Linked DNA regions of Callithrix jacchus. Each later gene encodes a partner of the first gene's protein in a complex. Links are inferred from orthologs where the notes say so. Each region holds a gene or a part of one and is shown in the gene's direction. Other genes may lie near its edges. The genes, in order: CYBA, RAC2, CYBB and RAC1.

Region 1 (7,859 bases):
ACACAGTGTGTCCCCATGGAGCCATCCCACAGCCCACGTCCACAAGGAAAAAAGCGAAGCCACACACGTGTGTGTGAGCGACGTGACACCCAGGGTCTCCACCTCCTGAGAGACGGTGTCCCCTACAGCTCGGGAGCCTGCAGGCCTCTAGTCCATAGAAGAGTGGCTTCTTGGGAAACATGCCTGCATTCCCAGGAGCACGTACACGTGTCTGACATTTGGAAGGAAAGGGTTCAAAGCCTCCGACTTCCTCCTCACTGAAATGAGTCAGAGCCAGTCCAGGCAGCCAGTGTTGTCGCTTCCCTGCAGTTGGGTGTTCTTTCTGGGGCAGGGTCCAGCAGCTGCCTTCTGGCCCCACGGAGCCCCCATGTACGCCCTCCTCAGTTTGTAGCTCGGCCCTGACTCCTTAGGCCACGGGCAGTTTCTTCGTCCCGTGGCTGTCACGGTCTCATTCTCAGTGTGAGGGGCGCCTCCTGCCGAAGGGGGTCTGCAGGCGTGTGGGGGATGTGTGTCTGCCCTGGGTGGAGGCAATATTGACTTCCATTGATTGGGGGCCTGCCCTGTGAGACGACGGACTGAGACCCACACCGTAGGACTGCCTTCCTGGGCAGTGCCAGGCCCGTGCCCCTGCTCCGGGTGGGGTGTGCAGGCTTTCGCTGTTCCATGGAACACCGTGACAAATGCACAAGCTCGAACTGGGCACTTCCCTAAGCTGTGACCCCAGGGGGCTGGGCAGCAGCCTTGGTCAGACACGGGCCCAGGCCTCTTGAAGGTCCCTTCAGAGCAGCCCCAGCCTGGACATAGCTGTTTACCACATAACCTCAAACTTACTGTCTCCAGCCAGGCGTGGTGACTGACACCTATGATTCCAGCACTTTGGGAGGCTGAGGCAGGTGGATCACCTGAGGTCAGGAGTTCAAGACCAGCCTGGCCCATATGGTGAAACTCCATCTCTACAAAAAATTCAAAAATTAACTGGACAAGGTGGTGGGCACCTATAGTCCTAGCTTCTCCAGAAGCTGAGGCAGGAGAATTGCTTGAACTTGGGAGGTAGAGGTTGCAGTGAGCCAAGGTCATGCCACTGCACTCCAGCCTGGGCAACGGAGTGAGACTCCGTCTCGAGAGCATAGGATCCCGCATCCCATGGGTGGAGACATTCACAGGGTTGTGAAGCCACCTCCTTCACTTTTCCATCCCTGTCTCCATAGCAGCCACCTGCCATCTCCCCTCCCTGGGCCCTGCCAGCTAGGAATACCTTCCTGTCTCTGGCCTTGCCTGTCCTAGACGCTTAGAGAAATGCACATGTGTACCATGCCCCTGCCCTGCTTTTCCAGGTTTCTGAGGGGGCTGCAGGTGAGGCCAGCCTCTCTCCCCGCTGAACTTAAGGCTGCGCTGGCCATGGAGCCGACTCCTGGTGGGGTCAAGTACATCATCGCCACTCAGGTGAGGCCCAGTACCCTGTGGGGTTTCCTTTCCTGCCAGAGGGGCCCGCCCAGGCTCAGCCCTGCTCCCTGTCCCTACCGTGTTTCAGGCCAGAATGCCTTTGGCACTTGCATTTCATTCATTTGCTCTCAAACAGGAGGCTGCAGGCCACTAGCGAGGCCAGAGCAGCAGGACTGGGCCAGGCTGGGGTGGAAGGATGAGTCTGATGCAGGCTCCCAGGGAGACAGGAGGGGAGTGCCTGGGATGGGTGCTGCTGGGGCTCCCCCCACCCCAACTGGCCCAGTAGACCAGGACTCCTGCTTCTGACCTGCTCAGGGGGCCAAGCCCTTGTCAGCGATCACACCCGCCCGAGCCATTGCCTTCAACTTCCTCTCAAGGGCCGCGGGCACAGGGCTGTGTGCTTCCAGGCACTGTGGTCCTCTGTCTACCCAGTGACAGGCAGTGCCCCAGGCAGAGGGCCCCCAGCTGGCAGGGGCATCTGTGCCTGCAGGAGCTGGGTGTGGGTGTCACTTGGGTGGCATAGCTTCTGACCAGGACCCACTGCTGCTCTCCTGTGTCCAGCCCCTACACATGCTGGGGCACAGGGCAGTGTGCTGCCATTGCTGGTGACCTGACATGGATCTCTACCTCCAGGTGGGGCCGGGGCCTCAAATCCTGGATGACCCCTACACCCACCTCCTGGGTCCTGATGGCCTGCCGAAGCCAGCTGCCTGACCGCCTCCGCAGGACTGCACGCCACCTGGAGAAGGGGTGTCCTCACCAGAGCTAGAAAGCGGGTGTGGTGGACTGGCTGGACCGCTGGGACTTGTGTGTGGTGGCCTGGCTTCGGGCCCATGGGCAGCGTGCTATGGGGCAGTGCGGGGAGACCTGCGGCTGCCGGATGTCAGGAGAGGCCCCCACCGAGTGCCTCAGCTACACCAGCACTTCGCCAGGATGGATGGGGTTGGGGCATGAAAGCTGGCAGAGCCAGGTGCGGCAGGGCTGAAGGGCTTTCTCACCGCGCTCCGGCCGTTCCCACTGCTCCAAGACGGGAGTTCGGCAGGAAGTTGGCATCCCTCAGGGCCAGGGAAGGGGTCGCTGTGCTGCAGCAGCCACCTTGGGCCTCAGGAAGCCACCAAGTGTCTCCGATGAGACCCCCAGGCCCAGGTGTTACGGGAATGGTGGCAGGAGTGGGCAGCAGCATGGCCCTCGTGGCCGTGGGAATAAAGTGGCATTGCGGCCTCTGTCTCCTGCTGTTTTCCTTCTTTTGTTGTTTAGATTCAGTGAGGTCCTCCTGTTTTCCTGTTTCCTAAACCAGCATTCCTGGGCTCCTGCTCAGAGTGGCCTGGGACTTGCAGGGAGTCCAGGTGTGCCCTGTGAGGGCCTGGGGAGCCAGGTAGAGGCATGGGAGGCTCCCCTGAAACCCCACAGTGCCTCAGGCCGCCCCTAAAGTCTTCCCATGGGCACTGGGCCCACCTCCCACTTATCACCTCTGCTGCCCTCTCCTCACCCTTACACCAACCCTTGCCTCCCATCCGCAGGCTGGACATGACAGGGCAGCTGTCCCTGTCCCCTCCCCCTGAGTCACAGTCACAGTGCAGTGATGGCGAGGGGAGGCCCACAGTGTCAGACTCAGGCCACGCCTGTGCCAGCCTAGAGTCAGGGTGAAGAAATGGGGGCAGGGCCTCAGGCTGCCACGGGGAGGCCACCCTTGGCCCCTGTAGCATCAGGGTGCAGAGGTGTCCTGAGCTGTAGGGGTGGCCCCCAACCCCCAAGGCTCGGGAGAGGCGGATCTGCTCAGGAAGCTGACCCTTCACACCTTTCTCTGCTGTTCCTAGAAGGCTTGTTGACACAGGACAACAAGGACACAGTGGTACTTTGGAAGTCCTGCGCTGGGCAGGGGCACTAGTCAGTGCGGGAGAGCAGAAGCTGGGAAACGCAGACGCCCCGCCTGGCCTGGGGCTGCCACGCTGAGCCCCTCCTGAGCCTCGGTCGCGTCTGGAGAGGGCGAGGGCAGAAGGCTCCGGGACAGCCCCGCACCCTAGAGGCGGGTCTCCGCCCACCCGCGGTCACCTGGGGGGCTGGGGGCGGGGCCGGGGCGGGGCGGGGCGGGACTGGGCCGGGAGCGCAGGGGCGGCAGTGCGCGCCTAGCAGTGTCCCAGCCGGGTCTGCGCAGCCATGGGGCAGATCGAGTGGGCCATGTGGGCCAACGAGCAGGCGCTGGCGTCCGGCCTGAGTGAGTGCGCGGCAGGGGCGGTGGAGGCTGCAGCCTGGGGGTGTCCCGAGACCCCAGCCGGGGACCTCAGACTACTTACCGGGCGGGGAAGTGGGGCACCAGGCGGCTGGGCTGTGATGGGATCAGGCCCGGAGGGTGCGGGGAACGGGGGCTGGAAGGAGGAGTTCCGAGACCCCGAACAGTCCGCTTGCAGACCCAGCGGAGCGGCGCCTCCTCCCCCATTCGCTTCCCTCAGTCCCCGACTCCGCGAAGGAGGAAGTTGCAGCGCAGGGAAAGAGGCGGTTCAGCCCCGGTGGTTTCCGGGGTGATCGCCGCCGCCCCCCCCCCAGGCCCCTGAGTGGGGGCTCTGGCCTGGACATCGGGAGAAGCTCCCCTCCCTTCGGTAGCCAGCTGGGCTGGGGATCAGGCCCCCCTGGGCTTGGGGTGGGAAGGTGGGCTCCTCATGCTGTGGGGCTCAGCCCTCCTCATCTGGAGTCGCCTGGGATTTCACAAGGCACGGAAACCACCGGGTGACCGCCCTGCCCAGCCCAGTCCAACATCCCACCCTGCTGCACATTTGCCCTGATCTGCCCACCCCAGCCTCCCCACCCCCTCCTCCAGCTGCCGGGGCTTCCTTTCTGTTCTGTATGTTCTAAGCATGCCCAGGGCCTTGGCACAAGCTGCTGCCTCTGCAGAGCCTCATGGCTGTCCCATTTCTTTCTCAAATGCCACCTGCTTGGGGAGGTCTCCAGAACGTGGAGCCCCAGGAGGCAGCTGGCCCTGAGAGAGTGGGGCCCTTGACAGAGTCCCTGTACACAGCAGGTGCTCTATAAGTGTGGCTGGGTGCCACAGTATGTCCTCAGGCCTCCCTGGTGGCACCAGCAGCAGCCTTGCACCCTCTTTCGGAGGGCAGGCTCAGGACTGGGACACTTCCCCAAAGATGCACGGATGACAGGCTGAGTGGACTGAAGGACACTGCCCTGCCTTCCTCCAAGGCAGATGGGCAAGGTCAGGGAGTTAATGTGTAGCTGAGCTCAAACCACGGATAGGAAATCTTCAGGGAAGAACAAGGGGTGACAAGAGCAATGCTGGCAGGGTGAGGCGGCCACACCTGTAATCCCAGCACTTCGGGAGGCTGAGGTGGGAGGACTGCTTTAGCCCAGCGGGTTGTGACTGTGACTGTGGCACAATGAGCTGTGTTTGTGCCACTGCACTGCAGTCTGGGTAACAGCAAGATCCTGTCTAGAAAACAGTAAGCAGGGCCAGGCACCATGGCTCACGCCTGTAATCCCCGCACTTTGGGAGGCCAAGGCAGGTGGATCACCTGAGGTCAGGAGTTCAAGACTAGCCTGGCCAATGTGGTGAAACCCCGTTTCTGCTAAAAATACAAAAATTATCCAGGCATGATGGTGCACGCCTGTAGTCCCAGCTCCTGGGAGGCTGAGGCAGGAGAACTGCTGGAACCCAGGAGGTTGCAGTGAGTTGCGATTAGGAGAGCCACTGAACTCCAGCCTGGGTGACAGAGGGAGACTCTGTCCCCCCCCCAAAAAGAAACCAGTAAGAGGGAGTATCAGAAAATAAGCAAAAGAAAGGGGCAGAAATGGCCCCATCAGTCGGAACCAAAAGTAAGACCGACAGCTGCCGGGTTTGGAGAAGCTCTGCGCCAGGGACACTCCCAGATGCAGAAACCACACTGGGCATATAGGCTTTCATGCATCAAACAAAGACACGGTGACAAGTATGTCCATTCGGGGGTCCCAGAGCCCAGGAGCACAGGCCCACTGGTGCCTGCAGGTCAGGCCGTCCCTTGGCCGCTCCTGGGCCTCGGAGCCCAGGCACGTCACACACTCCACTCCGCCAGGCCATGCGCCACCAGCTCTGCTCTTCACCAGCGCAGGGGGCTGCCTCCTGGGGTGTCCCCGACTCTGTCACTGTGCTGTGGGGATCCGTAGGGACAAACACATGGACTGCAGAAGACAGTTCTTGGTGGCCTGGTGGCCCATGGTAGAGAAAGGGGGTGGCCCAGGCCTCCAGGATGGGAGCCACTCAGTGCCTGACCCACTTCTCCCCGCAGTCCTCATCACCGGGGGCATTGTGGCCACTGCCGGGCACTTCACCCAGTGGTACTTTGGAGCCTACTCCATGTATCCTTCCACCTGAGGCGGGGGTGGGCAGGGAATGCCCAGGGCAGAGCCTGGGAGCCACTTCACAGGGAGCACTTTGCTTCCGCTCCCCAGCACTGCAGCCAGGCTGGAAGACAGGGCGGGCTGTCCAGGGGTTGGGCAGCCCAGGCCCCTAGCCTGGGCCATGTGGTGGTCAGTGGCAGACCTGCCAGCCTGAGTCCTAGCGAGGGGTGGGCAGGTGGTGTCCCCTGAGGGCCAGGGCCAGGGCCAGCACTGGGGCCTCCCTAGGACTGCTGGGATCCCCATTAGTCATCCACCTTGGCCAGCCCCTCCACCTCCTCTGCCCCATCTCAGCCCTGCTGCCCTACCAGACCTCCCAACAAGGAGCAATGGGCAGGGTGGTATGAGGGCAGGTGTGGGCCAGCCTCAGGTGCACCTCCTGTGGCTGTTTCCTGCCCTGTGACCTCAGGCAGTGGCTGCCTCACCCCACTTTTTTTTGAGACAGGGTCTCGCTCTGTCCCCTAGGCTAGAGTGCATCGGTGCCATCATGACGCATAGCAGCCTCCACCTGGGCTCAAGCAATCCTCTCACCTCCGCCTCTGGAGTGTCTGGGACCACAGGCGCATGACACCGCACCTGGCTAATTTTTAAATGTTTTGTAGAGATGAGGGCCTCACTATGTTGCCCAGGCTGGTCTCAAACCCCTGGGCTCTAGTAATCCTCCCGCCTCAGCCTCCCACAGTGCTGGGATTCCAAGCGTGAGCCGCCATGCCCGGCCCCTCTTCATGCTGTCTTAGTAAAGAGGGCTCACCGTGTGGCCCCTCAGGCTGAACTGGGCTGTTCCTTAACCACATGGCTTCAGTGTGGCGGGCGTGTTTGTCTGCCTGCTGGAGTACCCCCGCGGAAAGAGGAAGAAGGGTTCCACCATGGAGCGCTGGTGAGTCACCTCCTGCATGCTCTGGGGTCTGTCCCAGGGCTGTGGGGCCCAAGCAGGGCCCACAGGGTCTGGTATGTGGAGTCTGGTTCCTCGCTCGGAGGCTCTGGAACCAACCATTCGGTCCTTGTGGGCAAACCCAGGCCCGTGCCTGCCTGGCATGTTGCCTGGGAGGAAAGAGGCCCGGGTGCCCTGGAGCGGTCCGGAGTGGGAGAGGCCCACCTCACTGTCCCCCTTCCTCCCTCCCACAGTGGGCAGAAGTACATGACCGCCGTGGTGAAGCTGTTCGGGCCCCTCACCAGGAATTACTACATTCGGGCCATCCTGCACCTCCTGTGAGTCCCGCCCCACCCCACCCCACCCCCTCTGGGGCTCAGGACGGCTTGGAGCACTGTCCCACCTGCCGGGCTGCCTGGCCTGGAGCCACTGCCACTTACCTGGACATTTTTCTAAACCAAAATTCGGGTCCCCAGGTGTGTCAGGGCCCCTGGAGCCTGTATCTGCTGTCCAGTGTGTGGGATTCCTAAGGATCCTCCCCAGACCTGAGCAGCTCCGATCACAGCAGAGTGGACTGGGCCCACAGGCCCTGCTGGGGGGTCTTGCCTGGGCTTCCTGGTAGCGTGGAAGTTCCCACGCTGTGTGTCTGGTGGTCGCTGCCGGCCAAGGCCGGGACACCTGCGTGTGGCTGCCCTACAGCTGCGGGGGCTTCCTTCCAAGTGTGCAGAGCTGCTCATGTCCCCATCAAGGCTGAGAACACTTAGGACCCAAACAAGCCCCTGGCTCCACATGTCCCCTTGGTCTGTGGTCTGTCTTGTCCTGAGACCTCATGGCCTTGGCCCCCATACCTGGGGCTCCGTTCCCTTTTCTGAGTGCCCTTCTGTGTCCCTCCCCCCCAGGCTGTCGGTGCCTGCCGGCTTCCTGCTGGCTACCATCCTCGGGACCGCCTGCCTGGCCATTGCCAGTGGCATCTACCTGCTGGTGAGTAGTGCTCTCTGAGGTCGGCTCCGGCCACCCCCAGCCCAGCCCTGCCCTGACACCCTCAGACAAGCATGGTCCTTGAAGCTGGCTCTGAGCCAGCCTGGAAGCAAGTGCGAGCTGCGGCATGAACTCACAGTGTGGCAGGACATGACTGCTGCAGCGGCTGCTCTGCACATCTTGTGTGTCT
Region 2 (7,863 bases), on another chromosome or scaffold:
GGAACTTGACAAACTTATTGTAAACTTTATATGAAAGAGCAAACAGTCAGTGGCAACAATAGCAATTTTGAAAACGTTCAAGAGTGGAGGATTTGCCCTGCTCGGTATGAAGATCTGATACAGAACTGCAGTAATTGGGATAGACACACCATGACACAGGTGACAACGTGACGAATCTGGAAAACAAGCTGTGTGAAAGGCCTTGGGTGAGATGCCACGTGGTCGGTGAAATCCTAGAAAATGCAAAGTCATCTGCATGGCAAGAAGCAAATCAGAGTTTGTGTGTGTGAGCTGAGCGGTGGCTGGAGGGGTGGGGAGGGAGAAACCGAGGGAGAGGTGGGCTATGCTGGGGTGCAAGGATGCTTTTCAAGGTGATGGAAATGCTCTATGATGCTCTGTATCCTGGGAGGTTTTGTGGATGCATATATCTGTCAAAACGAATGGAACTATATGCTTTAAATGGATAAAACTTATTGTATGCAAATTATACTTCCATATAGATTTTTTTTTTTTTTTTTGAGATGGAGTTTTGCTCTTGTTGTCCAGGCTGGAGCACAATGGCACAATCTCGGCTCACCACAACCTCTGCCTCCCAGGTTCAAGCAATTCTCCTGCCTTGGCCTCCCGAGTAGCTGGGATTACAGGCATGTGCCACCATGCCCGGATAATTTTGTATTTTCAGTAGAGACAGGGTTTCTCCATGTTGATTAGACTGGTCTGGAACTCCCAACCTCAGGTGATCTGCCTGCCTCGGCCTCCCAAAGTGCTGGGATTACAGGCGTGAGCCACTGTACCCCGCCTCATATATATATATTATTTTTTTTCTTTTAGACGGAGTTTCACTTTTGTTACCCAGGCTGGAGTGCAATGGCGTGATCTCAGCTCACTGCAACCTCCGCCTCCTGGGTTCAAGCAATTCTCCTGCCTCAGCCTCCCAAGTAGCTCAGACTACAGGCGTGTGCCACCATGCCCAGCTAATTTTTGTATTTTTTAGTAGAGACGGGGTTTCACCATGTTGACCAGGATGGTCTCCATCTCTTGTCCTTGTGATCCACTCGTCTCAGCCTTCCAAAGTGTTGGGATTACAGGCGTGAGCCACCACACCTGATCTAAAGCCAGTTTAATTGTTTAAATTGATTTAAGAAGTTGCTGACTGGGCATGGTTGCCTACGCCTGTAATCTCAGCACTTTGAGAGGGCCAAGGCGGGCAGATCACTTGAGGTCGGGAGTTCAAGACCAGCCTAACCAACATGGAGAAACCCTGTCTCTACTAAAAATACAAAATTAGCCGGGCGTGGTGGCGCATGCCTGTAATCGCAGCTACTTTCAAGGCTGAGGCAGAAGAATTGCTTGAACCTGGGAGGCAGAGGTGGTAGTGAGCTTCAAGAACTAGAAATGAATTCTTTAAAAAAATTTTTTATTTGTAATTGACACATAATTGTACATGTTTATGGGGTACGATGTGATGTTTCGATGCATGCATAGCCATATAATGATCAAATCCGGGTAATTCCCACGTCCATCACTTTCAACATGTATCATTTCTCTGCTGCAACAACATCTGAAACCTTCTCTCCCAGCTCTCTCGAAATATTCGCGACGTTGTGATTTGCTCTATTCACCCCACTGTGTGGCAGAACACCAGAACTTACTCTTCCTGTCTCATGGAAGCTCCACGAATGTTCTTTCTCTGTTCCAGGTTCTTTTTTTTTTTTTTCAAGACCGAGTTTCTCTCTTGTTGCCCAGGCTGGAGGGCAATGGCGCGATCTCGGCTCACCGCAACCTCCACCTCCTGGGTTCAGGCAATTCTCCTGCCTCAGCCTCCTGAGTAGCTGGGACTACAGGCACGCGCCACCATGCCCAGCTAATTTTTTGTATTTTTTTAATAGACATGGGGTTTTACCATGTTGACCAGGATGGTCTCGATCTCTTGACCTTGTGATCCACCCTCCTCGGCCTCCCAAAATCTGTTCCAGGTTCTAATTTGGGGTACCGCACTGCATTTAATACGTTATCCTTTTGTTTTTTAAATTAACACGGAGGTTGCCCTAGGGACTAGCAGTGGGTGGAAAAATAAAGGGGCAGTGAAGGAGGAAGCCCCAGGGTGGCCACAGGGAACGCCTGGCGTCTCCCACCCAAGGTCTCAGCACAGCGTATGCAAAGCGCGTTGGAGAGACACTGGTTTGCTGGTAAGTGTCACAGTTGACTTGCCCGGTGCTGGGCAGGCGCTTTAGGAAGTTGTGTTTTCCTCTCTGTAAAAATCAGTGTTGTGAACGCAGTAACTTGTGTGAACTGCTCTGAAAGGGCTCGGCCTCCAGGAGCCTGCTGAGAATCCTGGGCTCTGCCAGCCAGCGGGCCCTGGCCCTCTGCACACTCCTGTGGGATTCCTGGCTTGTCCTGAGGGACGGTCCAGGGTGGATGACCAGTGGCTCTTCCTCTCCCTGCCTCTGTCCCTTCCCCCTGGACCTGGAAAGGCGTGGGGTTGGGGAGTGATCACGACGATCAGTGAACTTGGTGCCAACAGGGGTGATCGAATGTTCTCCCGAGTGTCCTCGGAGAGCCCTCGTGGCTAAGGGAGTTCCCTGAGAGCTGGAGAATGCAGGCTTTGTCCCCTCAAACAGCAGCTGGAGCCAAGAGCTCCAGTTGGAGAAGAGCTTGGAGTAAACTGAGCGTCAGGGTGGTTTCAGGCTAGGTGGTCAAATGACTTCTCAGACCGTCAGTTTTCACATCAGGGAAGTGGGCCACAGTTCCTAGATCCAGAGTGCCTGGTGACCCAGGGCGGCCTCAGGACAGGCTTGGTGCCTGTAGGGCACTGCCTGCCACTTCCCCTCAACATGCCTTTCTCCATCTGTGGACCACACCTTCCCTTCCTGCCTCATCACTCCCCATCCTCCCACACAGGCCCTTCCCTGGCGGAGCCCCTGGGTCCTGGCTCAAGAAATCTCCGTGAACCTGGAGTACCCTCTTTAGAGCAAATGTTTCAAGAGCCAGCTCCAATGCTGCTTGCAGGCCCCCAGCTCTCCCTCTCGGTAACACTGAGGTCCTCTCTGTAGAGTCCCCATTGCCCCAGTCACTTCCTGCCTGCTTTCTAATCTCCCGTGATGAAGTCCTGCCTCCCCCTCTGCAAAGGGTGTAAACTCCAGGGACCAGCTGTCTCTTGTATCCTGGGATCACTAGCACCTGGTAGTATGTCTGGCACACAGTAGGCACTCATTAAATGCTGTGCTTAGAACTGAGGTGTACTTGGAAGCCTCACGTTCTTGGAGAACAGCCTCTGGGCCTGCCCAGTGGTCAGAAATTGAGCCTCCTACCACAGAGGGGAGGCCGGAGGTGGGGGGCTGCAGGGATGGCCAGGGCTCAGCCAGCACCTGAGCGCCCCGCCCACCAGCTGCTCCTCCAAACCGAATGCTCCACCCCCTGCAAACGACCTTGAGGGCAGCAGCTTGGGTAAGTTCCCCTTCCGCTTCCTCCCACCCCACCACTGCTGCTCTTCAGCAGGCGCCTTGCCAGCCTCCACACCCCTTGTGCCTGCAGAAACGCGCCTGGCCCTGAGCTGTCACCACTGACACTGTCCAGGCCCCGGACACGATGCAAGCCATCAAGTGTGTGGTGGTTGGAGATGGGTAGGTGCCTGGCTGGACCTCCTCACAGCCCCCAACTGGGATGCTGTGAGATCCTCCCGCCCTGGTGTCCCTGGGGAAGCCCCTGGCTCTGCAGAATTAGGTGTCCCTGGAAGGCAGCTTGGAGGAGTCGCTTCATTCTTCTCCTAGGGCTCACAGCTAGCACCCCGGGGTGGGCTGAGGACAGCTTCACCCTCTTCAGCCCACCCACCCTGGAAGCCATCTGGGTGGAGGGTGCAGGACTATGGCTGGGAGTGCCCAGGCCCCTTACCTGCACCCCCAAAGCTGGGGGCAGGTCTCCCACGGAGGTGAGCCTCAGCCTTCAACTCTGTGGATGCACCCGCGAAGTGGGAAACCAGAAATTCAGCCTTCGTCCCCAGGCTGACTTGGGCTCTCGTCACTGGTTTGGTGCTGCTGTGTGGCCTTGGGCAAGTCACAGCATGTCTCTGAACCTCAGCCATCTGGGAGGAGGAGGCCTATGCCCTAGGGATGCTGTGGGGTCGCTGGACATAAGCTGAGTGGCTGTCTTGCTTGTAATGTGTGCTCAATAACCACCCCCTGCTGGTACCACCCCCCCCTCTCTCTCCCTTCCCCTCAGCCTGCTGGGTTGGGGAGGATGTGTGGGGGATGTGGGCGAGGAGCAGAAGGGGCAAGGGGACGTTGAGAGACAGAGAGGAGAGGGAGGAGGTGGCCGCAGGATGGGAGGGCGATTGTGGGATCTGCAGGGGAGGGGCAGGCTGGGCTGACACCTTCTCAGTTGTCAGATCCCAGTGACCCCCAGGCTGTCATGTCTCCTGGGGAATCTCGGTTTCCTCATCTGTAAAATGACGAGTCTAGGCCAGGTGCAGTGGCTCATGCCTTTAGCCCTAGCGCTTTGAGAGGCCAAGTGGGGAGAGTTGCTTGAGACCAGCCTAGGCATTCACAATGAGAACCCATGTCTACAGAAACTTTTTTTTATCTTTTTGGCGGGGGGGGGGGGGTCTCACTCTGTCACTCAGGCTAGAGTACAGTGGCGCAGTCTTGGCTACTGTAGCCTCCGCTGCCCAGGTTCAAGCGATTCTCCTGCCTCAGCCTTCTGAGTAGCTGGGATTACAGGTGTATGCCACCACACCTCCCTAACTTTTGTATTTTTAGTAGAGACAGGGTTTCACCATGTTGCTCAGGCGCTGGTCTTGAACTCCTGACCTTGTGATCTGCCTGCCTGGCCTCCCAAAGTGCTGGTATTACAGTCATGAGCCACCAGGCCCGGCCACAAAAACATTTTTAAAAGCTAGGAGTGGTGGCACGCGCCTGTAGTCCCAGCTATCGGGAAGCTAAGGTGGGAGAATCGCCTGAGCCCAGGAGTTTGAGGATGCAGTGAGCTATAGTTGTGCCACGGGGTGACAGAGCAAGACCTGTCTCTTAAAAACACAAAATAAAGGGACAGGTCCCGTTTGTCAATCTGTCGTGCCTGCCAGCAGCCATGTCTTAGGGTCCAACCCACAGGCCCAGCTTGGGGCTTTCTGTAAGTCCATCGCAGCATGTTCTAGCTGGAAGGAGCCTCTTGTCCAGCCCTCCCATGCTACAGAGGAGCAGCCCAAGGCTGTAAGAGACTCAGCTGTCCTGGCCTGGGTCCTGTGGCCCCCACTTTGGCTCTGACTCATCCAGGTGGGGGTGGGCCCGTTTGCCCACCAGCCTCAGCTGATTCTGATACATGGCCGCTTATCTGCCCACGCCGGCCCGGGCCTGTTCACTTCTGCTTTCTATCTGATCTGAAGAGGGGCAGGCGGAAGTCAAGGGTTAACGTCCCAGTCATTCAAAGTTACCTCGGGACAGGCCCCGGGGAGGACTGTGGTAGAGAGGAGAGGATGAGCTGTCTCCTCTGAGCAGGAAGTGACAGAACCAAGCAGGGCAGGGGAAGGCCCAGAGCTGCCCCTTGGTCTCCGGGCTTTGGCTGAGCTACCTGCACCTGCTCCCAGTCTCAAATGCTGGGGGTGGGGGAGGTGCGCAAATAATGACGTTCTCCGATTACCGATCCCTTCCTTCCTAGGTACCAGCTCTGGGGTTAGCCCGGCCTTCTCTATTTGTCCTCTCACCAAACCTAATAGGTTTTTACAGGTGGGAAAATGAATTCAGGGAAGCTATGCAGTTTGCCCAAAGCCTCACAGGATTTGAACCCAGCCCATTCTGACTCAAACCCTGGTCTAGTAACTGCTCTGCTCCATGGGGAGGTGAGAGGGAAGAGCTGGGTCAGGCCTTCCCTAGCAGCCACCGGCTGCTGCCGTGCGTCAGGCCCTGTGCTAGGTGCTTCGATAGGCATCGTTGGATTTATTCCTCAGCACACTCCTATGGGGATGGGCTCATCCTGATTTTCTAGATGGAGAAACTGAGGCAGAGGCAGGTTAAGTGACTCGTCCAGGGTCATGCCACTGAGCTGGGATTTGAAGCCCAGGCCAGGCGTCGGGGCCCCTCGGCATGGCCTGAGTTTGTGGGGTACCCCCTCTGTGTGACATCTCTGGTCCCTGGAGAAACCTGTGGGAAATGCAGATTCCCAGCTCTGCGAACACCTGTGGGTCAGAATCTCTGGGGCTGGACCCTGAAGTCTCCACTTTAACAAACACGCACAGGACCTGCAGGCTCTCAGGTGTGAGAACACAGACATGGGGTGTCTCAGACAGGGAGACAGGGCCCAGAGGGCTAGGCTGGGTGGATGCTGAGGTCTTCGCAGAGGATGGGGCAGAAACCTCCCCATGTCTCCAGCAGAGCCCATGATCGCCGCCCTCTTGCACTTCCTGTCTTTCAGGGCCGTGGGCAAGACCTGCCTTCTCATCAGCTACACCACCAACGCCTTCCCTGGAGAGTACATCCCCACCGTGTGAGTTCCTGGGGACACGCAGGTGCTGGGAGGAGGGGAGAGAACGTCACCAAGTCGACCCGCTTTCAGGCACTTCCTGTGGGCCAGACCCTGTGTGGGCACCCGATGGGGTGCCAGAGCCACAGCCTCCAGTGGAGCAGAGCTGCCTGATGGTCCAGCCAAGAAGGCAGCACTGGCACTAAGAAGTGCTGGGGGTGGGGGGGGGGAAGGGGTGGAAAGGGAGGAAGGAAGGAGGCAGTGGCCTTTAGGCTGGGTCTCCAAGCAAAGCGCTGTAGAGGAAACGGCGGGCTTGGGCAGGAGCAGGGGCTGGGAGAGGAGCCTCTGTGGAGGCAGGCTGGGCTCCAGGAGGAGGTGATCCAGAGGGTCTGGCCCCAGGGAGCAGGGACACCTGGGGCCGTGGCATGCTGAGGGGCAGAACAGAGGCATCTGCAGGCCTCAGAGGCCCTGCGCTCTATTGCAGGACGTGGAGGCAGGGCTGTCATTGGACATGGCGGGAGTGTATTGGCGTCAGACTCAGGAGGGACGGATGACTGGGGAGGCACCAGCCCCTCTCCGGCCAGCCCTCAGGGGCCCACGTCACTCCTAGGACATTTCCTTGACTCCCTAGCATGGCACTCAAGGCCCCTGATGGCCTTCACTCAACCTCCTGCCTGGCCTCATCACCCATTACTTGGCTTCAGGCCCTGCCTCCCCTGGACCCTACTGTTCACCACAAGTTCCCTGCACATTCCTACCCCAGGGCCTTTGCTCAAGCTGTTCCTCTCCCCGTAGTGCTTTTTCTCCCCACATCCACCTGCCTAAAGCCTCCATACCCAGCTCCAGTGCCCCCTCCTCCAGGAAGCCTTTCTGATCTATGGTGAAGGGGTCTCCCCTCCCCAGAGAGACTTTATCTGATCTCTCCCATGATCATGAGCCTGTGGGGGACAGGGAGCCACGGCCAGTCCTTTCTGGGTCTCCCCATTGTCTTAGCACAGAACCTTCTATGTGGTATCATACACACCTTGCCTTACACACAACACATGTGTTTTGAGTTGACCTGAATGGAACATCATGGGAGGGACCGCAGGAAGAGCGATCATAGCCACCACCTAGCAAAGGCCTGCTTCGTGCTGGGCCCTGCACAAGATGTCATGCACACGTGATCTCATTGGATCCCCCTGGGAGATGGCCATTAGCATGCGCAGGACACCCACGGGGAAGCTGAGCCTCATAGCCACGAAGAGGCTTGCTTCCCAGGCTTACACGGTCCTGTCTGGCTTCAGAGCCAAGGTCCACACAGAACCTTGCTGGGGCCCTCATTTCTTGATCTTAATGAAACCCCCTTTTAGGAGCAGGGATCAGGCTCTCCTAGGAAGAGGAGGCAGGCAGAAGGGAGAAGAGACCCTGGAG
Region 3 (7,333 bases), on another chromosome or scaffold:
CTTTTATGGCAAAAACCACAACTGGTTTTGCACCAATCTAATACTAAGGCCCTCTCTCATCCTCTGGGAATATAGGAAGGCTGAGCAGGAAACATCACTTTTTGTAAAATTTTTAGCACTTTTTTCACTTCTGAGAGGAAAAAAAATCACAATGGGCTGATTTCTTACATTGGGTTCCCTGGTAAAGACTGAGAAATAACTGCATGAAGAAGGTTTCTAAGGCAATCTGTAGGAGATAAACCTGGAAAGGAAATAGGAAGGCAGAAATGAGGATAAAGAAAAGCTGATCCTCTTTCTAGTTGCAACTGTGACCTCAGCTGATTCTATAGGGAATGCTGGAATTGAGATGGCCCCTTGGAAAAGGAACTGGGCCTGAGTATTCCTTTGTCAGCCCATCATTGGTAATGGGCTACAACTGAGGGCAATTCCCTGTGACAGACACAGCTGCTGAAGGAACTGCTTTGTTGGTCCTAAAGCAGAGATCTAGATGGGCCAATGTAGCTCAGTTTTTTTTATCCATATGGACACTAAAAAGGCAAGTATTTAGGAAAAATGTCATTTCCAGACATATGCTTTATTCTACAGGTGGTCACTCATCCTTTCAAAACCATCGAGCTGCAGATGAAGAAGAAGGGGTTCAAGATGGAAGTGGGACAATACATTTTTGTCAAGTGCCCCAAGGTGTCCAAGCTGGAGTGGCACCCTTTCACACTGACCTCTGCCCCCGAAGAAGACTTCTTTAGTATCCATATCCGCATTGTTGGGGACTGGACAGAGGGGCTGTTCAATGCTTGTGGCTGTGATAAGCAGGAGTTTCAAGATGCTTGGAAACTACCTAAGTGAGTAAAAACTACACATTACCAATGCGTATGAGTTCAGGAAAAATGGCACTAAATAGCTCCTTTTCTTCCATGTTTTACTAAGTCTCCAACAAAACACACAGGTTCTAAGAATATAGGTAACTATTTCTGTGGTCGCTATTTCATATGCGTTTATGCATATTTTTATAAATCTTATGTGAACTGTGAAACTTTTGAATCAAATATTAGAAATAAATGCCCGCAAACTCCTTTAAATATGTAAGGGTCAAAGCCAAGTTATATTAACTTTCCTAACAAATAAAATTACAGTATATCAAAAATATTCTTAAATTTTAGTTGGCATAATTTATTTGAGGTTAAATGCCATATATTAGCCCCCTTGCCTCCTTTTCCCTGCATGCCTAACAATGGTATCAGGTACTTAGTAGATGATAAAGAAAGGTTTGAGAGTTTGTTGAATAACTGAATGAATAGACAAATGAAAAGTGGAGACATTAAATCTACAAAATGTTATGATATGGCAAATTCTCACTTCAATGTGCAGCACGTGCAGAAGTTTCGAGTGGGATGTCCTGGCAAGAGATAGGGTGTGTGTGGAGGGGGGTTTGTTGTGTGTGAAGTGGGGTGGGGAGATAAAAAAATACTTATGCTGAGTTACCAAATGTTTTTGGTTACCCAAATATTTTTCTTCTTACTTCCAAACCCAACATTGGCACTAAGGTTTGTTACTTGAAAGGTATTTCGTAGAAAGAAGCACCTAATAGATACATTGTTCCAATATGAATTAACATATTTCACATCCCCAATAATCATAGGTGTCCCAGCTCACTCTGAAGAACAAGACATCTCTGTAACTGTCTCCTCCCCATTTCTCTTCAGGATAGCTGTTGATGGGCCCTTTGGCACTGCCAGTGAAGATGTGTTCAGCTATGAGGTGGTGATGTTAGTGGGAGCAGGGATTGGGGTCACACCCTTCGCATCCATTCTCAAGTCAGTCTGGTATAAATATTGCAATAACGCCACCAATCTGAAGCTCAAAAAGGTAAGTCCTTTCATTTATTGGAAGGCCTGAAGCAGTCACCACACTCTGCCATGTGAAGCCTGAAAGTGCTTTCAGGGCTGAGGTTGACAGAGACCATGGGATGTGAAGAAAAGCTTCCAGTGGTTCCGGAGAGACAGACCTTTCTTCAAAAGACTAAGTCCAATGTGCTTCTAGAAAAGCAGGCCTATTAGTGATGGGAAAACATTGTATCTGTATAGTGATGCTGGAAGTTCAGAAGAAAGAAAGATGGGAAAGTGTTCACAGCTCCAATTTAATAGCTATCATTTTTGTATATCCTCTTCTAATATTTTCACGTTTACATATTTTTAGAAAGTTTTGTATATTGAGCATGTATAATTTCATGTCCTGCTTTTTAAAAACATATTATAGGAAGTGTTTTTCAATGTCTTCACAGGCTTTATAATGATGATTTTAAATGATCCCTTCATGTTCCACTGAGAGGATATTGAATAATTTTTCTTTCATCTTGTGTTGGATGTTGAGATTGATTCTATTTCTAGCCCCCCTCCCCCTGTCACCAATACTTTTTATGCAAAGGGAGGAGAGGAGACCTGAAATTTCTACTTATGAATATCTCCTCAGGATCAATTCACAGGGGATTTTTTGGTTACCTATAAATTTGGTTTTATTGTGGAATAAAGGGCATCCCAAATAAACCTCAGGCCATTCTAATAACTGAAAAGATAAACTCTAATAGGGACATTAAGCCTACTTTGACTTTTCATTCTCTTTGTACCTCTTTTCCATGTGGGAGGGGATGTGCGTACAACCTTATTTGTCACCTAGAAACTCATGAATGTCTGGCAATAGCAGGCAGGGAAGAATTTCTGTGGCAGTCCCTGCTAGTCTAAATCCCATCAGACTTTCTGAGAAGAGGTTCAAAGGAAGCCAGACTTTCTGAGAAGAGGTTCAAAGGAAGAGCAGACCCAGAGGGAAACTTGGTGGGCTAATAGTTTTTCCTTAAGCTATATATTTCTGAGGTCAAGTCAGTTATTTACTGCCCTGCTAGCCATGAAGACCAGAGCAGGTTCATGTAAACTAGCCTGTGAAATGTTCAGAACCTCCTGAGAATCTATGTTTCTAGGCATTCTGAGCAACAGGAAAAAGTTTAAGGAACAGAAAGTAGAAATCACATTTTAACGCTGATAGGGCCTACCAAATATAATCTGCTTCATGATCCACCGCATTTTCAGATCTACTTCTACTGGCTGTGCCGGGACACACATGCCTTTGAGTGGTTTGCAGACCTGCTGCAGCTGCTGGAGAGCCAGATGCAGGAAAGTAACAATGCTGGCTTCCTCAGCTACAACATCTACCTCACTGGCTGGGATGAGTCTCAGGTAAGGACAAGACTCCAACGCTCAGGTCCTTCCCATAGTGTACAGGACTTACGGACTTCCCCTTGGTTATTGGTGTGTCTTGTGTACTATTATTTTTCTAAGTACACTTAGTGGATTTAGTGATCAAGTCCATTCACTCTCATTCGGTATCCCCACATTATATTTAGACTGTTCAGACTAGATTCAAAGTCAAGGAGCCTGTAAGGGAATAAATGCCCTTGACATTATTAGGGCAATTCTCCCACCAGGCACTCTGAAACCAGGTGGATGAGATGATGCATTGGGTTATGGGAGGGAAATTTAACTTTCTCTCCCTGTCTGTGTGTGTGTGTGTGTGTGTGTGTGTGTGTAAAACAGACACTCTCCAACTTACAGTGGTTCAACTTATGATTTTTAAACTTTACAGCGAAGTGGAAGCAATATGCATTCAGTAGAAGCCATACTTCAGTATTTATTCAATAAATTACATGAGATTTTAAACCTTTTATTATAAATAGGCTTTGTGTTAGATGATTTTGTGCAATTGTAGGATAGTGTAAGTGTTCTGAGCACCTTTAAGGTAGTCTAGGCTAAACTATGATGTTTATTAAGTTAGGTGTATTAAATCCATTTTAAACTTATGGTATTTTCAATTTAATGATGGTTTTATTAGGATATAACCCCATTGTAAGCTGAGGAGCATCTGTATGTATAACATGCATAAGTATATAAAGGATTCTGTATATACATATATATTTTATTATGTATTTATATATGTATCACATACACTTATATGCATATATGTATTTATAAAATCATTTAATTTACATGTTTTTGCATGTTTTACAATATACTTACTACATGTATAATTATTATGCATGTATATTGCCAGGTATTATTCTTATATATCTATTTACATAGACTGTATAATTTTATCCTCTTACCAACACTATGAAGTTGCTCCTATTATTATCCACATTTTACAGATGAAGAAACTCAGGCCAGGTTAGGTCATTTTCCTAAGAGCACCCAACAAATAAGTGACAGAGACAGAATGTACCAGAGCCTGCACTCTCAGCATCTCCCAGTAGTTCATGATTATCATTTGTAAATAAATTAATATATATCTAATGAAGGTGATATATATGCATGTATGTGTGTGTATGTGTATGTGTGTGTACAATGAGAGTGGTCTTTCAAAAATGTTTGGAGACCACTATAATAAAGCAAGCCAGTAGTTCTTAACTGGGACAATTTTGCTCTGTTCCCCCAGCCCAGACATACACCAGAGACAGTTGGCAATGTAAATATCCTACAATTAACAAGACAGCCCCCTACAACAAAGAATTGTACAGTTCCAAGTATCAAAAGTTCTGAGATTGACAAACCCTGAAACAAGTCAATGATTCCTGGAGGGGTAACATCTTTGTTAATAAGGAAACATTAATGACTTGGCCTGGAAACAGCATAAGCTGTCACCATGAATGAGAAGCTAAGGCAAGAGTCTCTGCATGTGTCTTTCCAGTGTCTTAGCTGGTATCTTAGTCCATTTGTGCTGCTATAACAAAACACCCGAGACTGGATAATTTATAAAGAAAATAAATTTATTTTCTCAAAGTTCTGGAGGCTGTCAAGTTCAAGATCAAGACACCAACATGTTTGGTTGTCTAGGAAAGGCTGCATCTTCTGGGTGGGAGAAATACAGTGTTTTTACATGGTGGCAAGAAAAAGGGCAGGCTCGTCAAATACCGTGTGACGACTGTATTCCAAAGCCCTTAAACTCATTCATAAGGGATGATCCTTCATGTCTTAATCACCTTTTTAAGGCTCCACTTCTTAATGCTATCACATTGGCAACTGAATTTTGGAGAGGACACATTCAGACTACAGCAGCTGGGTATTCACAGACACTGGTTCTGCAAGCCTGGGCATTTTCCATGTGGACCCTGTCACTGTGAAGACTGGATTCCCATTTGGGTTTTGACATATTATTTATCACAGATTCTCCAAGTCTTAAAGGACTCTTGTAGCAAATATGAATTAGGGAAACATAACCATAAAAATTGTTGCTCCAGAAAAAAAGTGGTTTCAAAATGTCACTTCTGCAGTTTAAAAACACAACAAAAACACTTTGATAAAAATAAAACTCAGGAAAACAATCTATAGTATATAAGTTGCTTTACTGTTTTGTTATTTAAAAAGCCAGGCACAGGTGTTTTTTTAAACTCAGTAATTTATTGGTATTGAAAAAGTAATTGTTAGCTTTGCAAAACTTGTCTATAGAATTATTAAATCAGAGTGCCCACCTTTCTTAACCTCCTCTATGCCCATTATCCATCTAGTGAATTTAAAATTTGATTTACTTTTTAAAAATAAATTTAACCACTTTTATGAAAAATACCTGTTGTTCAAACTGAAGCCTCATAGATTGTAGCAGAAAAATAGCATGTGAACACACACACACACAAACACACACACACACACACACACACACACACGCTTTAGGCTTGATTCGATGTCTCACTATGCAACCAAAGTATTGCTGCATTTTAGTCTAAAATTGTTACATCTTCTAGTAATTCTCCCAAAGGAGTTTAAGTATATTACAGTAAAGTGCAAAAGTCAAACATAGAGCACAGAGAAAAACAATGAGACACTACTCATTCATCAATGCTTGACTCAAATCCTGTGGCCCTAAACCTTCCCCTGTTCTTCCACTGCACCTTCCTTCTTTGTTCTCGTTAGGATACTTGTGCCTCTTTCATGACTCTCATCACACCCTGTTCGACATATGGGACTATTTATATTTGTACTTCAAATCTCCCCTTCTAGATTGTAAATTGCTTGAGAGAGATCCAGTTTGTTCATCTTTGTTTACCTTCTAACATCCAGCAGGGTGCCTTGGTTAGAATAGTTTGTGAATTATGTAAATACATTGTATGTGATTTTACAGCACGTCTTTTTCTGAATTCATGTCCTTTCCTGCAGGCCAATCACTTTGCTGTGCACCATGATGAGGAGAAAGATGTGATCACAGGCCTGAAACAAAAGACTTTGTATGGACGGCCCAACTGGGATAACGAATTCAAGACAATTGCAAGTCAACACCCTAAGTAAGGAGTCTGTCACCAAGATGTTTTTTAGGCTTGTGTCTGCCTAAAGCAGCAGCTCAGATACATATTGAAAATTGTATATTTTAGAAACTCAGATACATATATTACTATATAAAGGTTGAATTCATGTCCAACAGTACATCCCAGGTATCTTCAACTTTAAGAAGGAATATTTAAATTTTATAAACAATACCTGGAGAGTTATTTTTAAAAAATTTCCCGGGTCCCCATCTCAGACTTTCTGAACCTGCTTGTCCCAAGTAGGGGCACAGCTTCGTTCTTTTCTTTAGTCTACTAAATTTCAATAGTGGAACTACTTCTTTTAAAGATTCGATATAATTTACACTTATTGTTAAGAAGACACTGTCTCCACTTTTAGTTATAACTTCTGGGTCTAAAATCTTAAGGTGACAGATGTCTCAAGGTGTTTTCTGCTCTCACTAAAACTTTAGTCATTATAAAACCTTGAGGGGGATCCCTTATCTTGCTAGAACACCTGAGAAACTCAAGCGCTCACCATACATGTACCCTTTAGACTATTGCTTTTTGCACTGTAATAAGCATACAAAGCACCTGGGGATCTCTTTAAAATGCAGATACTGATTTAGAAAATTTGGGGTAGGGCCAGGTAATCCACATTGTTTTAAAAGTTTGTGGCAAGGCTACTGATCAGAAACTACACTTTGAACAAGGCTTTAGACTCTAAAATTTAGAGAAATGAAGCCACACCAAGTAGTCAGCATAGTTGGCTTGTTCCTAATTTCAAGATGCCAGGGAGAGTTTAGGGGGCACAGAGCCCTGAGGGAAAGTAGCCGAAAGACTCATGAATTCACCCCCATTTTCTCTGTGATAAAAGTTCCAAAATTTCTATTGGTCAGACTTTATTTTTCCAGGGAAGTCAACTACCTTTTGAACTATCCAGCTGCTCACACAAACAGGCTGAACCACACTCCCTCTGAGCAATGTGAACTCTTTGCTATTTGTGGAAAAGACAAAGGAGCAGAGGGGACTCTGCCC
Region 4 (7,122 bases), on another chromosome or scaffold:
CCTTGTGGAGGGAAGGACCCGAGTAGCAAATATTAGAGCCTCCACTTGGTGCTGGAAACTGTGACAGGCCACCTCCCAAAGGAGTTGAATTGAACCATTGACCACCTAAAAACATTTGTACTTGACATGCCAGTGGGGAGCCTGATTTTTTTTGTAGATTCTGTATTATTATTATTATTTTAAAATTTTATTTTATTTTATTTATTTTTTTTGAGACGGAGTTTCGCTCTTGTTACCCAGGCTGGAGTGCAATGGCGCTCAATCTCGGCTCACCACAACCTCCGCCTCCTGGGTGCAGGCAATTCTCCCGCCTCAGCCTCCTGAGTAGCTGGGATTACAGGCATGCGCCACCATGCCCAGCTAATTTTTTGTATCTTTAGTAGAGACGGGGTTTCACCATGTTGACCTCGTGATCCATGTGCCTTGGCCTCCCAAAGTGCTGGGATTACAGGCTTGAGCCACCGCGCCCAGCCTAATTTTATTTTTTTGAGATGGAGTTTTGCTCTGTCTCACGGAGATGGAGTTTTGCTCTGTCTCACGGGCTGGAGTGCAGTGGCTTGATCTCGGTTCACTGCAACTTCTGCCTCCCGGGTTCAAGTGATTCTCCTGCCTCAACCTCCCAAGTAGCTGGGATTACACGTGCCTGCCACCGTGCCTGGCTAATTTTTGTATTTAGAGACAGGGTTTTGCCCTCTTGGCCAGGCTGGTCTTGAACGCCTGACTTTGTGATCCACTCACCTTGGCCTCCCAAAGTGCTGGGATCACAGGCATGAGCCACCATGCCCAGCAGATCCTGTTTTTAAAATTAACTCTGCTTTTGGGAAACAGGAGAGCAGATTTTACAGAAATGTTGGCATACCTTCATACTTGATTTTTTTTCTGTTTAGATAGGCAGAAAGGAAACATCCCAGGGGTCTGGTCTGATCCTCCCTATCCTCGAAGAACTTCCCATGTCATTCTCCCTTCACACTCCCCATTTTCATAAGTAACTGGTGGCTTGACATGCTGGGTTGGTTTGGGAGCCTCTGACAAACTGAAAGGGTGGATTGGGTGGATCAGGGAGCGTCTGACCAAGCCGCCTATACCTAGTATAGTAGACACGCTCTCTGCCTGACAAGTGCTTCCCAGCAACATCTAGAACACAAAGTGCATGCTTTGTTCTAAGGTCATTGTCTAAATGTTTCCCTGTGTTTCCTTTTTGTAGGATGTGTTCTTAATTTGCTTTTCCCTTGTGAGTCCTGCATCATTTGAAAATGTCCGTGCAAAGGTAGGTGGGGATATAAAGTATGTATGTAAGTTATAGAATGATCCTCTCAGAAAGAAATACTTCAAAATACCATTTACTGCTAGGAATTTTCAGTTAAATTGGATTTTAGCAGTTTGCTACTTAGGTACATAATTGGGTTGGTTTGTTTTTTGAGATGGACGTCTTACTTTGTTGTCCAGGCTGGAGTGTGGTGGTGACATCAGAGCTCACTGTAACCTCGAACACCTGGGCTCAAACAGTTCTCCTGCCTCAGCCTCCCGAGTAGCTGGGACCACAAATGTGCACCACCATGCCTGGGTAATCTTGAAAAAATTTTGTAGAGCTGGTTTTGTAGACCCTGGCTGGTCTCAAACTCTTGGGCTGAAATGATCCTTCAGCTTCAGCCTCCCAGAATGCTGGGATTACAGGTATAAGCCACCGTGCCTGGCTCATCAGCAGTTCATTTTATTTATTTATTTATTTATTTTTGAGACAGAGTCTTGCACTGTCACCCAGGCTTGGAGTGCAATGGTGCAGCCTTGGCTCACTGCAACCTCTGCCTCCCAGTTCAAGCGATTCTCCTGCCTCAGCCTCCCGAGAAGCTGGGATTACAGGTGCTTACCACCACACCTGGCTAATTTTTGTGCTTTTAGTAGATATGGGGTTTCACCATGTTGGCCAGGCTGATCTTGAACTCCTGGCCTCAAGTGATCCACCTGCCTCACACTCCCAAAGTGCTGAGATTTCAGGTGTGAGCCACTATACCCGGCCTAATTCGTGGATTTTTAAAGCTTCAGCTTCTGGTTCAGAAGTTTCCTGGGCCTCATTAAAATAATGAAGCACTCAGAATTGTTCTAATAAAAATAATAACCATTTCTTTCTACTCCAGTCTCTTTCACAAACTTCTTAGTAAAAATGACAAGCAACAGAGGCCCTTTAGTAGGGACGTTTTCAGTGGGGATAATGGCAGCAGAGCTGAGGCCTGGGGCTAGGTAGTTTGTTCTCATTTCTGAACAGATGATGAATTTTCTCAGATGACCCTAAGAACTTGTTTTACCAAAGACAAAATTATTTGCTTTGGGAGGAACTTCCTTCCCTTTGTCCTCTTCTCCCCACCCCCTTCCATGGTTGTAGAGCCCATTCTGTCCCGTCCTGATCATCATGATCTGGAAGTCCTGGCTTGCTAATGGAACACCTGAGATGCTCCTTACGGCTCGAGGGTTGGGCTGAAGGTGTGAACTGCATGAAGGCTGGTGGGGCGGCAGTGCCTGAAGTTAGGTGTCTAGCGTGCGTGCTGCCTGCTGGATGTGATTTAGGTGAAGGACGTCTGTAAAGGAGCGCCTCACAACCTCTGTTCCTTCTTCACATCTAGTGGTATCCTGAGGTGCGGCACCACTGTCCCAACACTCCCATCATCCTAGTGGGAACTAAACTTGATCTTAGGGATGATAAAGACACGATCGAGAAACTGAAGGAGAAGAAGCTGACTCCCATCACCTATCCGCAGGGTCTAGCCATGGCTAAGGAGATTGGTATGGAATCCTGCGTTTTTTCCTCTGCCTTGTACCTCTTTTAGTGACTGACTGGAGTCCAGTCTGGGAAAGGAGGGAGTGTCTCCTATTCGGGGCCCGGCTTACTCTTGGGAACAAGTTGGCAAGGCCCTCTGGGTCTTCATGTCAGCGTTGGAAGATGGAGGCAGGGCTGGGAGCCGGCAGAAGGTGCCCAGGCCCCAGGAGCTGCCTCCCGGCGGTGTTGTGATCAGAAGAGAGTGGTGTACATTGTATGTGGCCGTGTTTCTTGTAGGTGCTGTAAAATACCTGGAGTGCTCGGCGCTCACACAGCGAGGCCTCAAGACAGTGTTCGACGAAGCGATTCGAGCAGTCCTCTGCCCACCTCCCGTGAAGAAGAGGAAGAGGAAATGCCTGCTGCTGTAAATGTCCGAGTCCCTTCTTCTTGGCCCTGTCCCTTGGAACCTTTGTACGCTTTGCTCAAAAAAACGGTGGAGCCTTCGCACTCAATGCCAACTTTTTGTTACAGATTAATTTTTCCATAAAACCATTTTGAACCAATCAGTAATTTTAAGGTTTTGTTTGTTCTAAATGTAAGAGTTCAGACTCACATTCTATTAAAATTTAGCCCTAAAATGACAAGCCTTCTTAAAGCCTTATTTTTCAAAAGCCCCTATTCTTGCTCAGATTAAGAGTTGCCAAAATACCTTCTGAACTGTACTGCATTGTTGTGCTAAGAACACTGAGCACTAAACTGTGTAAGACCTTCGTCTTTCAGAAGACCGTAGCTTCTGCAGTTAGGAGATGCAGACACTTTCTAAGTAGTTTCCAGATGCGTAAAGCAGAACAGCCTCCCAAATGAAGCGTTGCCATTAAACTCACCAGTGATATATCAGCCCATGTTCACGACCTAACATTGTACTGTGATGGAATGGGTGTAAACAGCTCAGCTCTTTGGATCAGTCTTTTTGATTTCATAGTGAGTTTTCTAAAAATTAGTTGATCAGCTTTTGCTGAGATTTTGAACAGAACTCATGTGTTTCCTCTAATGAAGTATTCTGTTTAGTTGTGGGTGTGCCGGGTGGGGTGTGTGTGATCAAAGGACGATGACGGTATTTTGACAAAATACGAAGTGGAGAGTTACACTACACTGTACAAGGAATAAAAGTGTCACGGGTAAAAACTCTAAAAGGTTAATTTCTGTCAAATGCAGTAGATGATGAAAGAAAGGTTGGTATTATCAGGAAGTGTTTTCTTAAGCTTTTCCTTTCTCTTGCACCTGCCATCCCTCCCCAAATTGGGCATTTAATTCATCTTTAAACTGGTCATTCCCTTAGTCGCTAACTTAGTAAGTGCTTTTCTTATAGAACCCCTTCTTACTGAGCAATATGCCTCCTTGTATTATAAAATCTTTCTGATAATGCATTAGTTTTTTTTTGTAGATTAGTAAAAGTGCTTTCCATGTTACTTTATTCAGAGCTAATAAGTGCTTTCCTTAGTTTTTTAGTAACTAGGTGTAAAAATCATGTGTTGCAGCTTTATAGTTTTTAAAATATTTTAGATAATTCTTAAACTATGAACCTTCTTAACATCACTGTCTTGCCGGATTACCGACACTGTCACTTGACCAATACTGACCCTCTTGACCTCGCCCATGCGGACACACGCCTCCTGTAGTTGCTTTGCCTAATGATGTTCCTTTGGGTCTGTGAGGTTCTGTAAACTGTGCTAGTGCTGACGATGTTCTGTACAACTTAACTCACTGGCAAGAATACAACGTTGGACCTTTCAACCACTACAACATTTTTTAAATTGACAGTTGCAGAATTGTGGAGTGTTTTTACATTGATCTTTTGCTAATGCAGTTAGCACTATGTTTTGCATGTATGACTTAATAAATCCTTGAATCATACAAGACTGGTAATACTGGCGTTTTTCAGACTTGAACAAGTTCCTGGTGTATGTTGTTTGCCTCACTTTTAAGTCCTGGGTTGTTGGAGACAGTCATTTTCAATGTGTGTCTCCACACAGGAGGGACAGAGGGAGTGCCATCTCGGGGAGAACTGGGTGAGCCCAGTTAATAGAGCAGGCATGGAGGTGACGTTCATGTTTGGACCTTTTGAACAGCGGTGACGCTCTGATGAAGAAACCCACGTCGGGGTGTGAGCGCACATCCTGGCCCAGAGCTTGGAGCTTGAAGATGCAGATGTTGGGACCCCAGACTGGCCCTGGAAGAGTAGAGGATGGTGAACCACACACCCTCAAGGTCCTTTCCAGAGGCTGGATGGGTGGCTTATGCCTGAAAGCCCAGCGCTTTGGGAGGCTGAGGCAGGAGGAGCACTTGAACCTGGGAGTTCTAGACCAGCCTGGACAAGAGAGACCTCTCTCTACCAAAAAAAAAAAAAAAAAAAAAAGGCTTAACTTGCACTATACAAAGGTTTATGTTAAAATTAGTTTTCTTAGTATTCCTTTTTATTGCTTTGAAGATTGTTTTTGAGTATTTTTTAAACTGAGATAAATAATGTAGTTTTTGTTTTTTTGAGACAAAAGTCTTGCTCTTGTCCCCTAGGCTGGAGAGCAATGGTGCAATCTTGGCTCAATGCAACCTCTGCCTCCCAGGTTCAAGCAATTCTGCCTCAGCCTCCCAAGTAGCTGGGATTAACAGGCACACACTACACACCAGTTTTTGTAATTTTAGTAGAGAGGGGGTTTCACTATGATGACCAGGCTGGTCTCAAACTCCTGACCTCAGGTGATCCGCCTGCCGTGGTCTCCCAAAGTCCTGGTATTACAGGCGTGAACCACCATGCCCGGCTGCAGTTTTTATTTTTTGAGAGGGTCTGGCTCTGTTACCAAGGCTGGAGTACAGTGGCACAGCCTTGGCTTGCTGCAACCTCTGCCCCCTGTGTTCCTGCTATCCTACTTCAGCTTCTGAAGTAGCTGGGACCACAGGTACACACCGCCCCCCTCCCCAGCTATTTTCTTTTTATTTTTTGTAGGGTTTCGCCATGTTGGCCAGGCTGGTCTCAAATTCTTGAGCTCAAGCAGTCTGCCTGCCTCGACCTCCCAAAGTGCCGGCACTACAGGTGTGAGCCACCATACCTGGCAATATGCAGTTTAAAAAAGTTTTAGTGGTTTTTAAAGAAAAGTCTTTCCCCTTCATACCTTCTCTAGAAGGAATACTTTGTTAGCTTACCTAATTTTTGGTATTTTACCTGCCCGTGTCTGAATTAGGCTTTTTGTGTAAGTGAAACTTCTGAGTTCAGCATTCTCATCAACATTCCCACTACAGAAGATGTGAGGCTTGCTTTTCCAGTTGCAACTCTCTGCCCAAAACGCTGCTCATTCCTCAGTATGATGGTTTCGATGGACTCAGTTTAGTGCCTGCACGGTCTCTGCTATGTAAACTGCTCACTGGCCATGCTCAGTAGCAGAAAAAACAATTTCCTGAATAACTTCTGGTTTCCTTTGGGATAATCAGTGCTTTGCTTGCTTTTCTGTGTATGGAATTCAATTGTGAATTTTTTTTTTTTTTTTTTGAGGCAGGGTCTTGCTCTGTCACCCAGGCTGGAGTGCAGTGGTGCCATCACAGCTCCTGGGCTCGTGATCCTCTTGCCTTAGCTTCCTGAGTAGCTGGGACCACAGGTGTGTGCAACCATGTCCGGCTAATTTTTAAAACTTTTAGTAGAGTCAGGGATCTCCCTATGTTGCCTAGGTTGGCCTTGAACTCCTGGCCTCAAGCCATTCTTCCACCTCAGCCTCCCAAAGTGCTGGGATTACAGGTATGAGCCACTGTGCCTGTCCTCAACTGTGAATTTTCATCTATTGTCTAAACCTCTCAAGATGTTCAGATGTGTTGTCATTTTACCAATATCCATTTTCCTGAAGTCATCTGACCTGCACCTCTCTTAGGCACTGGTCTTCATTTCCTTCATCCTGAATGGCTTCTCCAAGAGCTCCTTGAGAGTGTGTTGGAAGTACGTACAGTCACGTACCACATGACATTTCAGTCAACAATGTAGCGCATATTTGGTAGTGTATGAGATTATACCTTTTTACTGTACCTTTGCTGTGTATAGATAGCAAATACCACTGTTACAACTGTCCACTGTATTCAGTATAGTAACAGACTGTGCAGCCTCCTAGCCCAGGAGCAGTGAGCAGGCCCTACCCGAGAGACTAGGTGTGCGGTAGGCTGTATGGTCTAGATTTGTGGAAGTCCGCTCTGACGTTAACACAGTGAAATCACCCATGTGTTTCTCAGAATGTATACCCATTGTTAAGTAAGGCATTGCTCTTATTTTTGAGCCCCTGCATCTTTGAAAACAACGGTTTTACAGTACTTTTGGCTGGGTCTAAAATTCTAGG

What was found.
Region 2: CYBA (region 1) and RAC2 share a complex: the UniProt entries of both Homo sapiens proteins name them as parts of the phagocyte NADPH oxidase complex. The link is inferred for Callithrix jacchus from reciprocal best matches to the Homo sapiens genes CYBA and RAC2.
Region 3: the proteins of CYBA (region 1) and CYBB are in contact, whole or in part, in a cryo-EM structure (PDB 8X2L), measured with the Homo sapiens proteins. The link is inferred for Callithrix jacchus from reciprocal best matches to the Homo sapiens genes CYBA and CYBB. Residues at the interface, in NP_000092.2 of Homo sapiens: Gln3, Ile4, Glu5, Trp6, Met8, Trp9, Glu12, Gln13, Ala16, Ile20, Thr23, Val27, Gly31, Phe33, Thr34, Gln35, Arg56, Arg59, Met65, Gly102, Phe103, Leu104, Leu105, Ala106, Ile108, Leu109, Ala112, Cys113, Ile116; in NP_000388.2 of Homo sapiens: Thr116, Ile117, Leu120, Phe121, Val123, Glu124, Asn128, Asn133, Lys161, Asn162, Pro163, Gly166, Leu167, Ala170, Val180, Thr183, Leu184, Ile187, Leu188, Thr191, Ser192, Thr194, Lys195, Thr196, Ile197, Arg199, Ser200, Tyr201, Glu203, Val204.
Region 4: CYBA (region 1) and RAC1 share a complex: the UniProt entries of both Homo sapiens proteins name them as parts of the phagocyte NADPH oxidase complex. The link is inferred for Callithrix jacchus from reciprocal best matches to the Homo sapiens genes CYBA and RAC1.

The regions. Positions count from the first base shown.
Region 1 is NC_133521.1:46,305,855-46,313,713, reverse strand, and holds the start of CYBA (cytochrome b-245 light chain), read left to right. Parts: upstream 1-3,560; 5' UTR 3,561-3,600; coding exon 3,601-3,658; intron 3,659-5,711; coding exon 5,712-5,781; intron 5,782-6,622; coding exon 6,623-6,697; intron 6,698-6,945; coding exon 6,946-7,029; intron 7,030-7,590; coding exon 7,591-7,672; intron 7,673-7,859. Other genes in the region: MVD (diphosphomevalonate decarboxylase), read left to right, coding at 1,335-1,443, 2,077-2,157. UniProt on the Homo sapiens protein: Subunit of NADPH oxidase complexes that is required for the NADPH oxidase activity that generates, in various cell types, superoxide from molecular oxygen utilizing NADPH as an electron donor.
Region 2 is NC_133502.1:208,153,765-208,161,627, reverse strand, and holds the start of RAC2 (ras-related C3 botulinum toxin substrate 2), read left to right. Parts: upstream 1-3,477; 5' UTR 3,478-3,588; coding exon 3,589-3,623; intron 3,624-6,402; coding exon 6,403-6,474; intron 6,475-7,863. UniProt on the Homo sapiens protein: Plasma membrane-associated small GTPase which cycles between an active GTP-bound and inactive GDP-bound state.
Region 3 is NC_133524.1:38,589,199-38,596,531, forward strand, and holds part of CYBB (NADPH oxidase 2), read left to right. Parts: intron 1-585; coding exon 586-839; intron 840-1,700; coding exon 1,701-1,863; intron 1,864-3,077; coding exon 3,078-3,224; intron 3,225-6,191; coding exon 6,192-6,316; intron 6,317-7,333. UniProt on the Homo sapiens protein: Catalytic subunit of the phagocyte NADPH oxidase complex that mediates the transfer of electrons from cytosolic NADPH to O2 to produce the superoxide anion (O2(-)).
Region 4 is NC_133503.1:16,136,717-16,143,838, forward strand, and holds the end of RAC1 (ras-related C3 botulinum toxin substrate 1), read left to right. Parts: intron 1-1,204; coding exon 1,205-1,267; intron 1,268-2,618; coding exon 2,619-2,778; intron 2,779-3,049; coding exon 3,050-3,180; 3' UTR 3,181-4,666; downstream 4,667-7,122. UniProt on the Homo sapiens protein: Plasma membrane-associated small GTPase which cycles between active GTP-bound and inactive GDP-bound states.